Coturnix japonica: one gene and its partners. The protein of the gene in region 3 binds, or shares a complex with, the protein of the main gene of each other region. Links are inferred from orthologs where the notes say so. Each region holds a gene or a part of one and is shown on either strand. Other genes may lie near its edges.

The links. The genes of interacting proteins can lie anywhere in the genome.
Region 1: HDAC3 (region 3) and NKAP share a complex: the UniProt entries of both Homo sapiens proteins name them as parts of the notch corepressor complex. The link is inferred for Coturnix japonica from reciprocal best matches to the Homo sapiens genes HDAC3 and NKAP.
Region 2: HDAC3 (region 3) and CORO2A share a complex: the UniProt entries of both Homo sapiens proteins name them as parts of the N-Cor repressor complex. The link is inferred for Coturnix japonica from reciprocal best matches to the Homo sapiens genes HDAC3 and CORO2A.

The regions. Positions count from the first base shown.
Region 1 is NC_029519.1:15,371,228-15,376,245, reverse strand, and holds the start of NKAP (NF-kappa-B-activating protein), read right to left. Parts: upstream 3,489-5,018; 5' UTR 3,474-3,488; coding exon 3,220-3,473; intron 2,960-3,219; coding exon 2,879-2,959; intron 2,421-2,878; coding exon 2,347-2,420; intron 2,154-2,346; coding exon 2,034-2,153; intron 1,909-2,033; coding exon 1,863-1,908; intron 1,486-1,862; coding exon 1,370-1,485; intron 1,228-1,369; coding exon 1,152-1,227; intron 666-1,151; coding exon 516-665; intron 1-515. Other genes in the region: ZBTB33 (transcriptional regulator Kaiso), read left to right, coding at 3,683-3,710. UniProt on the Homo sapiens protein: Acts as a transcriptional repressor. Plays a role as a transcriptional corepressor of the Notch-mediated signaling required for T-cell development. Also involved in the TNF and IL-1 induced NF-kappa-B activation.
Region 2 is NC_029547.1:62,366,634-62,371,639, forward strand, and holds the start of CORO2A (coronin-2A), read right to left. Parts: upstream 3,489-5,006; 5' UTR 3,462-3,488; coding exon 3,417-3,461; intron 1-3,416.
Region 3 is NC_029528.1:14,736,828-14,741,347, reverse strand, and holds part of HDAC3 (histone deacetylase 3), read right to left. Parts: intron 2,321-4,520; exon of another isoform or gene 2,301-2,320; intron 1,931-2,300; coding exon 1,788-1,930; intron 580-1,787; coding exon 498-579; intron 1-497. UniProt on the Homo sapiens protein: Histone deacetylase that catalyzes the deacetylation of lysine residues on the N-terminal part of the core histones (H2A, H2B, H3 and H4), and some other non-histone substrates.

The DNA of each region.
Region 1 (5,018 bases), on a different chromosome or scaffold from region 3:
ACACCTAAACCAGGGAACCCAAACTGCAAAGAAACCTCCAAGGAACGAGCATAGCTGAGCTGACATCTGAGGGTGTCTGCTCTCAGGCAGTGAGCAGGAAGTCCCTCACGCTCCCAAAATAGCTTGCCAAAATATAAATGAACCTCCTTTTGTACTGGTAGAAGAAGGTATGGTGAACCTCTCACATTAATTTGTCTCATACCAAAGAGCCAGCGCATAGCCTCTGCTGTCCAAACACACAACCCTTAGGGCCATTGGAGACAAGCATCTAATTTGAAATAAAGAGAATTTGAAGCATACTATCTGGAAATAATTTTGATTCTTCAGGAAAAAGTGACTTTAAGAAACTATGCATCTATATATAGCAGTAGAGTTCAGCATATGCCACTGAAAGCGTACAGAGCACGTGCTCTTCAGAGCTTTCAGCTACAGCCTGGGAACAGCTTTTCAGCAGGCCAACAAAGGAAGCAGCTTTGGAAAATGTTACTGAAATATTACCATCATAAGAAACATACCTGCTGCCGCTCATCACGTAACCGGAGCTCTCAAACGATGCAATTTCTTCACTGGTCAAGCCAATCTCACCTCTCCGAGGAATGCGTTTTCCTGCTTTTACATACTCTGCCATTGCTGCACCTTCACCCGGCAACAGGGCGTGCCCATAGCTAAAGAAACAGAGAGACAAACAGGAGGGATTTTAATCAGTCTCAACTAGAGTGAGCCTGAGCCAAACATCCAGCTCCCCCAGTCACTACCAGCTACATTTTAAGGACTTCCTTACTATTTCCCAAGTACGTTCCCATTTCATACTTACAGCTAATCTCAGCAAGAACATTTTAAGTAAGCAGTTTAATAAATTCTGGTTAACCAGTAATGAAGGCTGTATGAAGTCACAGCTCTGCAGAGCATTAGAGTAAAGGCACTTTACTGAAGTAAAAACCAATTAATTTTCTACGAACCCAGGCTAAAATGCGTAAAACAGACTTTTCTACTTAAACTCAGGTCAGAGTAAAGACTAGCACCACTACCACTTCTTAGTTTCTGGTACAGCATCCCTCTTGATATAAATCATATTATTTTAGGTCTTTCTGAGCAGAAATCTTTATGCTAGATTTACTTGACTCAATCAAGGTACCATTTAGAGTACTCACTTTAAAGGCCTATCATCTTGAGACGCATGTGTTTTGGGAGCTTCTGGTCCAATCAAGCTATCAGCTTCTGTATTTTCTGCAATGATCAAATAGTGAAGCAGATCAATACTGTGCCTCTTCTTTGTTATCAGAGCAGTCAACAAGGCAGCAAACACTTAAAAAAAAAAAAGCATGAAAAGAACACCAAGAAGTTTCAAGACAAATCTACGGGCACCTACTTGATCTCTCAATCCAGAGATCCTCCCCTTGAACTGTTCCATCATCAGAATCTTCACTGCTGGAATCACTGGATTCCTTCCGGCTCTTTTTATTTTTCTTTTTCTTGTACTTCTTCCTGCAATAACACCCAAGTTATCCACCAGCATTTAAGATAAAAAAACGTGCTAGGAGTCATACTCAAGTTATGAGTTTCTCAAGATACCTTCCACCAAGGACAGTCTGCATTTACATTGCTGTTTGATTGAAAACAACCGATAGTTAAACAAAGACAACACATCCACTGTTATGGCTTTCATACAGCGCTCGAAAGCGGCTCCCTGTGTTTCAAGGATCTCTCTGTGCTCTGGGATTCTGTACATTTGATGCCAGTCAAATTATGATTATCCACCTGCATTTACAGCTCTAATTACAGGAGCGCTCAGCTTCCCTCCGTTCCTGCTAAGACTGCGCTTAAAAGTAGATGCAATTATACTTCACAGCTTGGAAACTTACTTCCTGTGCTTCCTTTTCTTCCTTTTGCTTTTCTTTTTATCTTCATCTGAAAAACAAAAAACAAAAAAAAGGGAAGATTATGCATCATCAAAAAGCATACACTGTGAATTAGTTAATGCCTCCACCAGAACATCTCAATACACAGCTTGGACATCATTTGTTCTCCCTTACCACTGGAGCTCTGGTCGGACTCGGACTCGCTGTCACTGTCCTCAGAATGTTTTCTGTGTTTCCGTTTGGACGCCTTCCGTTTTCTCTTCTTTCGCTTCTTCTTCTTCTTCCTTTTTTCCTCTGGAATGTTTATAAAAGATAACATTAGAAAAAGATGAAGACTTAGTTCCGTGTATACATCTGGAGCATCCCAAAGCAACAGGGCCTATCACACTCACTTCAACCCAAGTCAGTGAACTTCCTGACAGCAACAACAGCAGTTTCTAGGTAGCGACTGGTTATCAAAATGAGCTGTATAAACAAAGCCAAATACCTTCCGAGCTGGAATCCGAAGAGCTGCTCTTGGATTTTGCCTCTTCGTCTTCTACTGGCGTGTGCTCATCAGAACTGAAGAAAAACAAGTTTGCTTTTTAAGATCTATTTTGTAGTATTTAGTAACTGAAGATCAGATGCACACATACACTGAAACACGTGCTTGTGGATTTTGAGCCACTACTTGCAACAGAGCAAACTGTGCAATGGCCAGCGTGCGAGACAGCAACTGTTTTCAGAACCACAGCAGAAAAGGCACCTATCACAGTATAGAATGTATCATAGAATGCCCTGGGTTGAAAAGGACCATAACAATCATCCAGTTTCAACCCCCTGCCATGGGAAATCATGTAATTGCGTCATGTCTTGAGTAACTGATGTGATGGGATTATCTGAATAACGTCTGTTTGCTTATGTTGGTTCAGATGCTTCTGACACAATGAATTGTGGCACCAGAGGACTCATGCGTTATTGTAAATTCCTCTAGAATTGATATCATAAAAAACAGAGTGAGAAGCAAAACTGTGCCTTACTCAGGGTCAGGAACCTTTGGCGAAAGCCCCCAGACTTCAGGTGCTCCCAGCTCTCCGATTCTCTCCCTCTCATTGAGTCTCCTGGAATGAAGCACACCGTTACTGGACGCTGACACGTCGCACCCAGCGAGCAGCTGCTTGCGGGCATGTCCCACTGCCCATAACAGCGTGAGAACGGGACTTCAATAACAACCTCAGCCCAACCCACGCCCGCAGGCCGAGCGGGCAGAGTCCAGCCCGGCACCCAGAGGCTCGTGCAGCGCCGGCGGCTCCCAGCCTCAAGCAGGGAGAGCCCGCAGACCCGCCCGTTGCCCGTTCCCCGTTCCCGCGTTGGTACTGGCCTCTGCCGCAGGATCTCCTCCTTCTCCTTCTCGTAGTACTCGGGCCAGGCCTTGCCGTGGTGGTGCCCGTGGTGCGCGGAGGCTCGAGTCCCGCCGGGGCTGCGCTCCCGGGATCGGGACCAGCTGCGGCTCCGCCGGTGGCAGCCGCGCCGCGATCCGTTACGGGACCGGGAGCGGGACCGGGAGCGGGAGCGGCGGCCGCGGCGCTCGGGGCTGGCGGCGGCCGGGCTGCGGGAGCGCGACACCGGCGCCATGATGGCGCGGCGGCATTTCCGGGCGGCCTGACGGCACTTCCGACGGCCGCCGGGCCGCGCTGCGCTGCTCGGACGGGGGCGGGAGGCGGCGGCGACGGGGCGCGGGGCGGAAGCGGGGCAGCCCCGCCCGCGGGGCGCAGTGCCCCACCGGCCGTGCGGAAACACGGCGACACGGCGGCGGGGCCGCTCCTTTGTCACCGCCCGGCACCATGGAGGCGCGGGCACAGCCGCGGCCAGGTAAGGCGGCGCGGGCGGACGGCGCACCGGGAGCGGCCTGCAGCCGGGAGCGGCCGGGGGACGGCGGTGCGGGGCCGGGTGAGCACCGAGCGAGGGGGAGCGCTCGCCGGGCCGCGATCCCCGGTGCCCGATGCCCGGTGCCGGCCGGCACATCAGCCCGCGCTGCTCTCGCGGCCATCCCGGCTCGGTCCGGCCCCGCCGCTGTCAGAGCGGCTGTCAGCGCAGCCCGGCCCCGCTCCCGCACACCGGCTGCCGCCCCAGGTTTCACGGGCCCGCTGCCGCCATGCTGCGGCTGTGGGAGCGCGGGGCACATACACGGCTCTTATTTACACGGTTCTTACTTACACGGCTCTTATTTACACGGCTGTTCTTTACACGGCTGTTATTTACACGGCTGTTTTTTACGCCTGCTGTGGGCAGGGTGATGTGGATGAGGCAGGTGGAAGCTGCAGTGCCTGTCACTCTGCCAGCTGAATCCGTACTGCCTCAAATGCTCGTTCCGTGCTTCCCATCTCGGGAGGATCCCGGAACGCAGCCCTGCCCCCTCCACCCGGCCCTGCATCCCCACACGGCACACAAGGTTACGACACCGACAGGCAGAGCTGGTTGCTGCTAACCCACATTGCTGGTGCTGGGCCCCGTCCCTGCAGCCATTAAAGGCACCCAGAGGTGCAGCCGGGGCTCTGCCATCGTGGGTGCAGCCCCAGCTCAACGTGGTGCCCAGCGCTGAGGCGGCTCCTTTTGGATCATTTCCATGCATCAAAATACAGTTGCTTTGTGTTCTTACCCACTGAACACCACCTCTTGTTGTGTGCTCTACACGTCCACATCTTAGAAAAACATGCTTCATTTAACTTGTCACTGTATACGTTTGTATGCTTGTTCAATCCCCAAACACTTTGGAGGCTGATCTGCAAGAGGCCTTGCAAGGCCGAATGGTAAAGCAGTTCACAGCTTGGTTTTGGGAACCCCAGAGCACTGCTCCTTCCAAACCAGTGCTTGTCTTTAGCTGTAGGTTCTCCTGTGAGTTCCTGCAAAGTCTGTAGGATCAAACAGATCAGGAACCGCAGATAAAACGTGCCATGAGCTCGGGTTCTCTGTGAGAACACTGCAGAGCACTCACACACACTGTGTCCAGGAGACTGCCCGGTGTGTGCCCGCACATGGCTGTCGCACACGCTCCAATGCAGGGTACGGGGTGGGCAGAGCCGGGCAGCGGGAGCGCAGCGTCAATGCCGGACGTGGCCGCCCGAGGCCTCGATGGAGGCGGCATCACCCGCGGCCCACGCGCTCCCGTCGGCAGCCGAA
Region 2 (5,006 bases), on a different chromosome or scaffold from region 3:
CAGCCTTCTCAACAGAGTCAAGGTGAGGTTCCTTAGGAAGGAGTGCTGCAGCTTTACCAGCAACTGAGGCACAATGGCAGCTATGCTTTTCTAAAAGCCTGTGTAACCATGACCCAGCAGCCCTGACAAACCTGCCTTCCCTCCCCACTGCTCACCCTGTTCATGCACAGCTCTAGGGGCTGTGGGAGGAAGAACGAGATGGAGCTCCTCAACCTCTCCCACTTTTCTGGAAGTTATCTAATCAGGTTCCGTGGACTTTGCCTCAAATTCAGTCATAAAAATACCATAGGCACTGTGAGTTGCTGCTGCCTTGTCTTCCTTATTGTCCTTCTTGGTAACTTTGTCCTTCAGTGACTGAGAGGTGGTGCAGACAGGTGCAGAAGACCATCCCTCTGCAGGGTGAGCATCCCTGCATACCAGAACAAAGCCCAAGCACAACCCCTGCACATCCCAGAAGGGTACCCCATCCCTGGAGGCATTCAAGGCCAGGCTGGATGTGGCTCTGGGCAGCCTGGTCTGGTGGTTGGTGACCCTGCACATAGCAGGGGATTGAAACCAGATGATCATTGTGCTCCTTTTCAACCCAGGCCATTCTATGATTCTGTGATGCTATGAAGGGTGACCTAAAGAGAGAGGGACTGAGAAGCCAGACTTCAGACTGTGCACCACAGGGTGCAGTGCTGGGTGAAACAAAGCAGGTAGACAGTCAAGAGGGAAAGAGGGAACGGTCTCAGGGCTGAGTTCTGTTAGTGGTCCTTCCATGGGCTGTGGCATGCCCCTGAGTCTGAGAAAGAGCTTTGCTTGGCTGAGGGCTGAGAAGTCCTATTTGTGAACGTCAGAGTGCCTTGGGAAGAGCAAACGTCAGCATTACCCTAGCACAGCCCTGCAGGGCGTCTTTTCAATATGGAGAATTGCTGGCAAGCCTGTCATACCGCAAAGGGGAAATCCCTGGAAATACCAGGCCAGGTTGACTCCACTTACCAGCCAGCATCACCCTGTGTGTGTCAAACCCCTCTCGGCCCACAGAGGGGGTTTACCCCAAGGTCTTTCCTGTTCCTGCTGCGAGAAGGCAGAAGGCGCGCCAGTATAATTGTCGCACGCCGCTGGCGGTTTGTTCCAGCCAGCTCTGCACAATCCAAGCAGCTCAGCTTGCACCTGTGGGAAGCCAGGGGCACCTGGCTGTGCCCTGCAGCAGGAGAGCAGGCTGCTGGCGGCCCTGCCTCCACCTGGAGGAGGCCAGTCTCATCCAACCAATGCAGCCCCACACAGCAAGGCATCAGCCCCACAGCCTCCGCAACACTGGCTACAGCATCCTTGCCAAAAATTACCACTGCTGTTTATAAGTGGAAGAAAGGAAGATAACGGGGGGGAAGCAGGAGGAGCAGTTGTTCCTTCATTTTTCCATTGAAGCTAACACACCAAATATATATAAATAACAAGTACAGAGGTCCTGTTGCACCAACCAAGAGCAGCTGCAGAGAACTGCTCTGGGCTGGTCTTCCTGCACCCTATTCCTTCACAGAAGTCCTCTCATGCCTTACCACCCTCTGACAGGTTCTCTGTGAGATCCTCACTCTAGAAACTGGGGCCCACTGAGCTGGGATGAAGGCTTCCGCTGAAGCCACTGTTGGCCAAGCAATACAAAGATGTCAGGACCACATCTAGAGGAGCCCACATGGTCATGCAGAACACAAAACTTCCCTTAGCTCATCTGTGAGGCATCCATGTCCTGCTCCAGGACATCATCTTCCTTTATGGGCACTTACAGATACCTCCAGTGCCCTTCCTATATCTCTGCAACACCAAAACACCTGGATATCCACAGCTGGAAGGACAGGGAACCTCATGCAGAACAGGGGCATTGGCAGCCCCACTAGGAGGAGAAAATGGTCCCCATGCAGGTCCTACAAGACAGCTCCAGGGACCAGCAGCAGGCTCAGTGCCAAGAGAGCTGCCACAAATCCAGCACAGAGCCAGACATCCCCAAATCCTCTCATTATCCAGCTGCTAATAACATTACCAGATGCAGAAAAGTTCAAGATGTTATCCATTCACTGAAATGTTTCCCAGGTTACAAACCAGTGTGTTCAAGGAAGAAAATATCACAGACACAGAGTCAGAGAGCCATCACAGGTCCAGATAACAGCCAGCAGGGAGACCACTGCCATGGACACCAACCAGAAGCAGGAGGGCACCACTCCCTGCACTGTGGATGCTCAGAGAGGCACCACACATCACTCGCCTCCCCAGTGCAGTGGGCCCAAGAGAAATGCTTTATCTGTGGTAAGATAAGAGCATTGCTGTGACAGCAGACAGGCAGCTCGAAGATGTGGTCAAGAGGGAGCCCTGTGGAAACAGGATGGGCTCGCTCTGGCCAAAACTCCTGTCCTAAGGGAGGACACAGTGACTGTCACACAACGTGGGTCTGACTGCGGACGTGTGGACCCCGCAGGCATAGGATGGCTGCGAGAAGCTCAGGTGGGACCTGGGGACTTAGGGAGGAGAGCTGTCATAGACTAAGAACCCTGTGGGCTGCATCAACACTGGAACCCCAACTGATAGTCACCTTCTCCGTTCCTGTCTATCTCTCTCTCTCTTTACTTTTCCCACTAGAAGTTGTTAAGTAATACAGGGTTTATTGCAGTTTCTTTAAAAGTCACACAGTTCAGCTGCACATCTTAGATACGAGAGTGACAACACTTCAAAGACCATTTTAGTACAGGCATTCTCTTTAAGACTGATTATTATGTTTGGACCTTGAGTGGACCTTAATCTAACAGAGCCGACTGGTGAATCCAGCCTCCCTCCCTTCCAGCACGGGTGGGACACGGGGCACCCACCCGCGGGACCCGTGTGTGCGGCGCAGCCTGCACTGACATCCCACACCCCGCACTCCTGAGACTCCAGAACAAAGGCTCCTCGTTCAACCTGCCGCTCGCACATACATGGGGCTGCTCTCGGGATCGCAGGCGAAGTTTACGGATGCCCAACCGCTGCATGGCCAGGCAGGGCGGCCAGCACGGCGAGCAGGTGTCGGGCGGGCGGGGTTACATCGCCGCGACCCGAGGGAGCCCCGATGCAGCGGCGGGCTCCTCGCAGGGCCGCCTCGGCAACGCGGTGATGCCGGGAGGCGGACACCGCTCCACGGGGATGCAGCCCCGGCCGAGGGACAGCCGCTCCCCGCCGCGTCCCCGCGCTGTCCCCGCGTCCGCGGATGGCGGCGGCCGCTCCGCACAAAGCGGGGTGGGGCTGCAGGAGCCCCGCAGCGCCGCACCGGCACCGCCCCCGGCTTCCCCGCACGGCAGCGGCTGCACGAGCCGTCCCTTCGCCACCGGCCGTCCCGCTCCCGGCAGCGGCAGGTGCCCGACCTTCCCCTCCCCACGCGCGTCTCTGCCCCGCGCCGCCCCGCTCCTTACCTCGCTGCTGGCCGCGGGGTCCGGCGGCCCGCAGGGCGTGCACATGGGAGCAGCGCCGCGCCAGCCCAGCCCGCTCCCCGCCCCGGCCCGCCCCCATGCCGCGCCCCGCAGCCGGGAGGTGTCCGCGGGTTCCCGGTGCGGATGGTGTTACGGTGCTCCGGCACCTCGCCCGCCCCCCGGCAGCCTTGTGCGGTCCCCCGACGTCGCCAAGGAGCTGCGGTGCGGTTTGGGGCGCGTTTAGCAGGGAAACACCTTGCTGTCATCTGCCCGCAGTCACAGCGCTGCCGCGGCTCGGCGGCCCCAGCAGCGCGTGTTTGCTGGCATGTATGGACTCGGAGCCTCATGCCTTCATCCGCAGAGCCGCAGCCCGGCCCTGGGGCCATGCCTGGGTAGCTGGCAATGCCCAAGACCAGTGACAGAGTAAAAGACACGTCCCTGGCCGGTTACCCGGCTGACATCGCTCCGTCCCGTACCCACGTCCCGCACACATCAGTCGGTCGCGGCGGCAGCTCTGGGCTGTAGGACTGTGCTCTCATGGGGCAGGATGCTGCAGTTCGGGTGTCCTCGCACTGGTTGCGGTGCACACGTGGTGGCAGGTGGTGTAGAGGCATAACATGGAGTTCAGGGGCTGATTTAAACACTGCCCTTGTCAAAATTAGTGGGTTTTTTTCAGTTTCTACATGCAAGAGGATTTTATTGTGTTGAAAAACATTAAACTATCAGAGGATAAAGCAAAATATGACTGTTGATTTGAACTTGCTTTTGGAGTTTCTTTTCCCAACAAAAAGAAAGAGGAAAAAAAGAAAAAGCCATAAACAGCACAAGCACTGCAGGCAGGTCCTGTGACAGGGCCTTGTCACTCCACTCTCATGGCGAGGCCTTCACTCCCTGCTCTGTCATTCCACCTGGAAGAGAAGTCCGGGACTGGGATAAAAATTAACCCAAGTCAAAAATAAAAGAGTCCTGGGCCTGGCTCTGTCAGGGCAGCACGCCAGGGTACAGGAGTGGATCGAGTTGCTCTGCTATGCACCGGCACTTTTACAAGTAAGGGATTTGCTAAGGGGTATGAAGGCAGTGGTGGTTCAGACCTGGGCTGAAGCCTCCCATAGCCACCTGTTGTCAGCCCAGGAGCCAGCAAAGAGTTCTGTGTAGTTCACAAGTGCCCGTGCAGGCAGGTGGAACTACTGGACTCCAGGTGCTCCATCTCAAACTCTTGTTTTCCAGCCATAACAGGTGGCTTTGGCAGCACAAAGTATCCTCGTGGATTTCATGCAGAGATAACCTCTGTAAAAGCTGGTGTTTGGTTGTTTGTTTTTGTTTTGAGATACTGTGGTAAGACATGAGTAACACTTTATTCTCACCCTACACTGTCAGCGTGCACAGCTGTTACTGACACACAGCGGACCTATCTGCTGCAGGGCTCCCACTCTTTCCAAAACCCCAGCTCCACTTTGAATGTAAATTCATCCTGTGTGTCGGCCTCCAGAGGGCTCTGCCAGCTCAGACTTCTGCCGTTCTTTGAAACTGGCTGATAGGAGTCCTTGTATCTCATGCTGTATATTCCAGCTCATCCTGGTCAGCTGTGGGTCA
Region 3 (4,520 bases):
AGCTACTTGAAAGGAGGATGCAGCAAGGAGATAACAGTCTCTTTTCTCAGGTAACAAGTGATAGGATGTGAGGAAACAGCCTCAAGTTGCACCAGGGGAGGTTTAGATTGGATATCAGGAAGAATTTATTCACAGAAAGAGTGGTCAGGTAGGGAGCAGGCTGCCCTGGGAGGCAGGGGAGTTTCCATTCCTAGAGATATTGAAAAGACTTGTGGATGTGGAGCTTAAGGATTTAGTTTAGTGGTAGACTTGCATTGTTAGGTGAACAGTTGGACTTGATAATCTCAGAAGTCTCTTCCAAGTTAACTGAGTTTATAATTTTGTCATTGTAATGACATAGGAATGGTCTTAACCTTTACAGTCATATAGTGGAAAGAATTTACACTGCAAAAAAGCATAGTTTGCTACATTATTATACTAAACACATTCATGTCATTGAACTGATAGCCAGTTGTTTCCTACCAGTGTTTCAAAGACAAGCCCATCAGCTCTGTTACCTTGTTGTTCAGCTGCGTTGCTCCCTGCAAGGAGGCCCCAGTGTAGCGAGAGCAAAACTCAAAGAGCCCTGGAAACACTGGGCTGAAAAAGAAAAAAAGAAGTCATGATTCAAACAAAGGACATCTTCTTATTCCTCCACACGCCTCCCAAGCAAAGCCAGTCCTGAGAGCTCTCCTCTGCCACAACACACCAGCATCTGTCTTGCAGCCCTGCTGATGTGTGTCCAGAGCTGGGATATGACTTGGGAAGGAGGACAGGTCTGCCCCATGCTATCTTCCTTTATCAGCATTGAGAAGACCCTGCCCATTCCCCTTCCCAACTCACAGCACAGGATGCAATATACAGTAAGTGGATGTGAATGCAGCTCTTACAGCAGAGCTGAGGCAGGACCAAACCCACCATGCAGAGCCAATAAATGCACCAGGATCTCTAAGAGGGTATAGAAACAGAAGATGTGGTGCCCATGTGCCACTAACTCACAAGTATCACATCACAAACATTATACGTGGACAAATAATAGCTTAGAGACTTTTATTTCCCCCCCTGTATTCTTGTAAGTGGTTTCTGATCAAAGTAATGTTGCACAACAGCCTTCTGATTCCCAGTCTAAATATTAAAAACCCGGCTATCCCAATACCTTACTGGGATAACACTGTTCTTTATCTAATGTCACTCCTCTCACATTAGTACTTACAGCTTTCCCTTCCAAAGAATAGAAAAGAACAGTCTTATTCTCTGACAGCCATTACTTTCCTCAGACAAGGCATACTGTGCACTTCCTCGATCACATACAGCCCTTCTACACACTTCTGTCAAGGTTTGCCTCTCACAGATGTGAAAGACTGGAACTGAATATTTGTAACAAGCTCTCATGTGAATATAGAAGCATTAAACTCTCCTCAGTTCTACCTGAAAATCAGGCTCTCAGAGCTACCTTGCACTTAACATGCACATATTAAGGTAGCTAAAATAGGCAACAGTTTAAAAAAATAGATATATAATATTTTCAAGAAGAACAGGAGGTTCTGCAAGAACAAGCGGAGTCACAGTCTCTAACATAACCAGTTTAGGATGTAAATGCAGATCTAAAAGGAGGATGATAAGATATGAAGAGAAGGGGAAGGAATTGAGGAGGTTGCAATAATCTGCTATGCTCAAGAAGGGCATGCACCTCATTCTGCTTAAAAAATAAGAACCAGTACACACTACAATAGTTCTCCAGACACAAACAGTGCAAGATCACAGCAGCATTTCCACCCCCAGGTTCACAGGAGGCACAGAGCACTCACCAGTCATCGCCCACATTGAAGGCATTGAGGCTTTTGGTGAAGCCCTGCATGTTGTTGGGACTCACTCTCTGCAGGAAGTCTATGTAGTCCTCGGAGTGGAATCTGCACATGTCATGCTGCGATGCCTGGTATGGCTTGAAAACCTTCAAGAGAAAGACAAGACTTACATGCTGTCCAAAGCTGTGTTTGCTTTGACTGTAAGAAACCTCAGGCTGACAAATGACCCACACAAAGTGTATCTAAAAGTGTTCCAGTACACCAGCTTCCTGATATTCACGTTCATTGACATGCAACATTCCATAAAGCCTGTTTCCCAACAGATTCCTATCTTTTAGCCATAACTGCAACTCCAGTCCTTCATAATAACTGCAGCTTCTCCTATACACTCTCTGATCCCTTTTTTCCAACACTATCCCCCCTCGCTTTGGTTGGACAAATGGCAAACCAGCAAAAATAAAAGGCAGTCGAATCCAAACTTCAGCTCTGTCCTCATGGGGAGCACTACTGCCTCACCAGTCACAACATCCTGATGTAATGGAGGTTCCAACCCTCCATCACAGCCGCCTCCAGGGGCTGGTAAGTTCAGACATTCATTTGAAGAAGGTTCTTAGGCAGATGGAACATTTGCATAAGCTTTGTTTCCTTTGGAAAGTCAGCTAAAAACAGTCACGTGGCCGGATGGATTCGAACTAAAGTTCTCATGACAACACACATTTGCCAGTTTGGCACTTAACACGCATACCTCAATAAACAGGAAGTTAAAAATCAACACCACATACCCAAAAAGGGGAAATTAAAGCTACACTGAAAGCAGTAACAAAATCTTCCATCTTTCAAAGCTTGTCTTAATTAAAGCACACTCTCCAGAGGGAGAACATGCTGGGGCAGCTCCCACAGCGCACCTCCCTTGGGCCAGGCAGGACCCTGGATACTTTTCAGAAGTAAAATACAACCTAACAAACATGACATCTCCTTTACTGTGCAACTGTACTGCTCAGCATGAGGCACGGTGCTTTCAATGTGAATGTGTGGAGCTCTGCTCCTCAGAGGCTGCTGCCTGAGACAGCTGGAGCCAGGAGGGTGGGACCAGCAGGTGGGGCTGGACCCCCACAAGGACTATCAGGAATCCTGATGACTGATCACCTCAAGACCACAGTGTCACAGAAAAGAAGAGACACTCACAGGACATTAAGAGGTGCTCTTGGATAAAAAACAACCAGGGGGAGCAGAAAGGAGGGATGAAAAACAACAAAAAAAGACAACATCAAAAGCTTCCAGACCTACTTGCTGTTGGTAAAAGTGGAAAGCTGCCTCTTTTCCCCTCATCTTGCCCTTCACTCACTGCAGCCATAACCCCAGGCACCTCCCTGAGCATGCCTGGCACTCAGCCCCTCGCTCAGCCAGCTCAGCACAAAGCTCTCCTGGTTTTGCTGAGTGACCGAGTTCCATCTGTTCCCACAGGATCCAGCAGCTTCCAAATGCAGCATAGGAAAGGCAGCAGGAACACACAGCAGAAAAAGCAGGGAATCATAGAATCACTCAGGTTGGAAAAGACCTAAAAGATCATCAAGTCCAACCACAGCCTAACCATAGTACCCTAACTCCAACAACCCTCCGCTAAATTGAGGCAGAGAAAAAGCCTCAGAGTGTGGAAGGAGAAAAAAGAGCAGGTTTTGCTGGGGCAGGAGATGGGGACAAGAAAATCAAAGGAAGGGAAAGGCCACATGGCAGGGTGGGTGGCAAGGACCAGGAGTTCCACTGGGAAGAGAGAGCTGATATTAAAGGGGGATAGAGCATCCCCTCCAGCCTGCATTCCATCACTGTGCCAAACAGGGATTGGCTTCCCAGTGACTGGCCAAAGAAGTCAGCATACACCAGTGTGAGGATGGACCCTGCATAGGGCTCAACTCTCAGCAGCTGCTGATTAATACACCTGCAAAAGCTCCTACAATGGCAGCAGAAAAATCCAAAGGATGCGATGTTACTGAACACCAAACTGCAGGAGTAACACTGAATGCACAAGGGAGCTTTTTTAATACTTCATCATTCTGAATTAATTGCAGATCTTGCATCACGGAGCAGTTTCACCGGCCCATTTTAGCATCTCCTTTTTAAAAATTGATGCCGTGTGTTCATTTTGGGACAGCTCATTTTCTATTTCCTCCCACTCAATCCCCAGGTCTCTCACCACAGAGTGCTCTGGCAGTGGAACAGCTTGAACTTGAGCCCACGCCAAATGCCAGGCACTCAGAGCGCTAAAAGATCATGTCAAAATGGTGTGGCACGTTTAAAGAAGCTGAGATCCAGTTTTCCTGCTTGCATTAATTTGTCTGCTCACACTTTGCTACCCTGCCTGCAAGAATTTTGCACCTTGTCCTGCAGACACCACGCCAGAGCAAGATGTGCCAGAATCAACACCACTGCTCTCCCGTGCTCACAGTAACACAGCTCTGGTTTTAGTATCAACTGATTCCTGAGTGCTTGAACAAGTGTCCTTTGAGGACAGGCTTTCTCTGCTATCACAGTCAAACACCCCGTCAGTTCCTTGTAAGTGCAGTGACAGCTTTAATGCTGTGGAAGAGGAAGGCTGGGGAGCTGTCAGCAGTGTGGAGGTTCCTGGCATAGCTGGAATGACTGTTATTTGCACAAAGCTGTCAGAGGAATGTGCACTTGCATCAGCATAATCTCCTGGTCACTGAGTTCAGACACCAGTTACAGGGAAGTTGCTGGTTT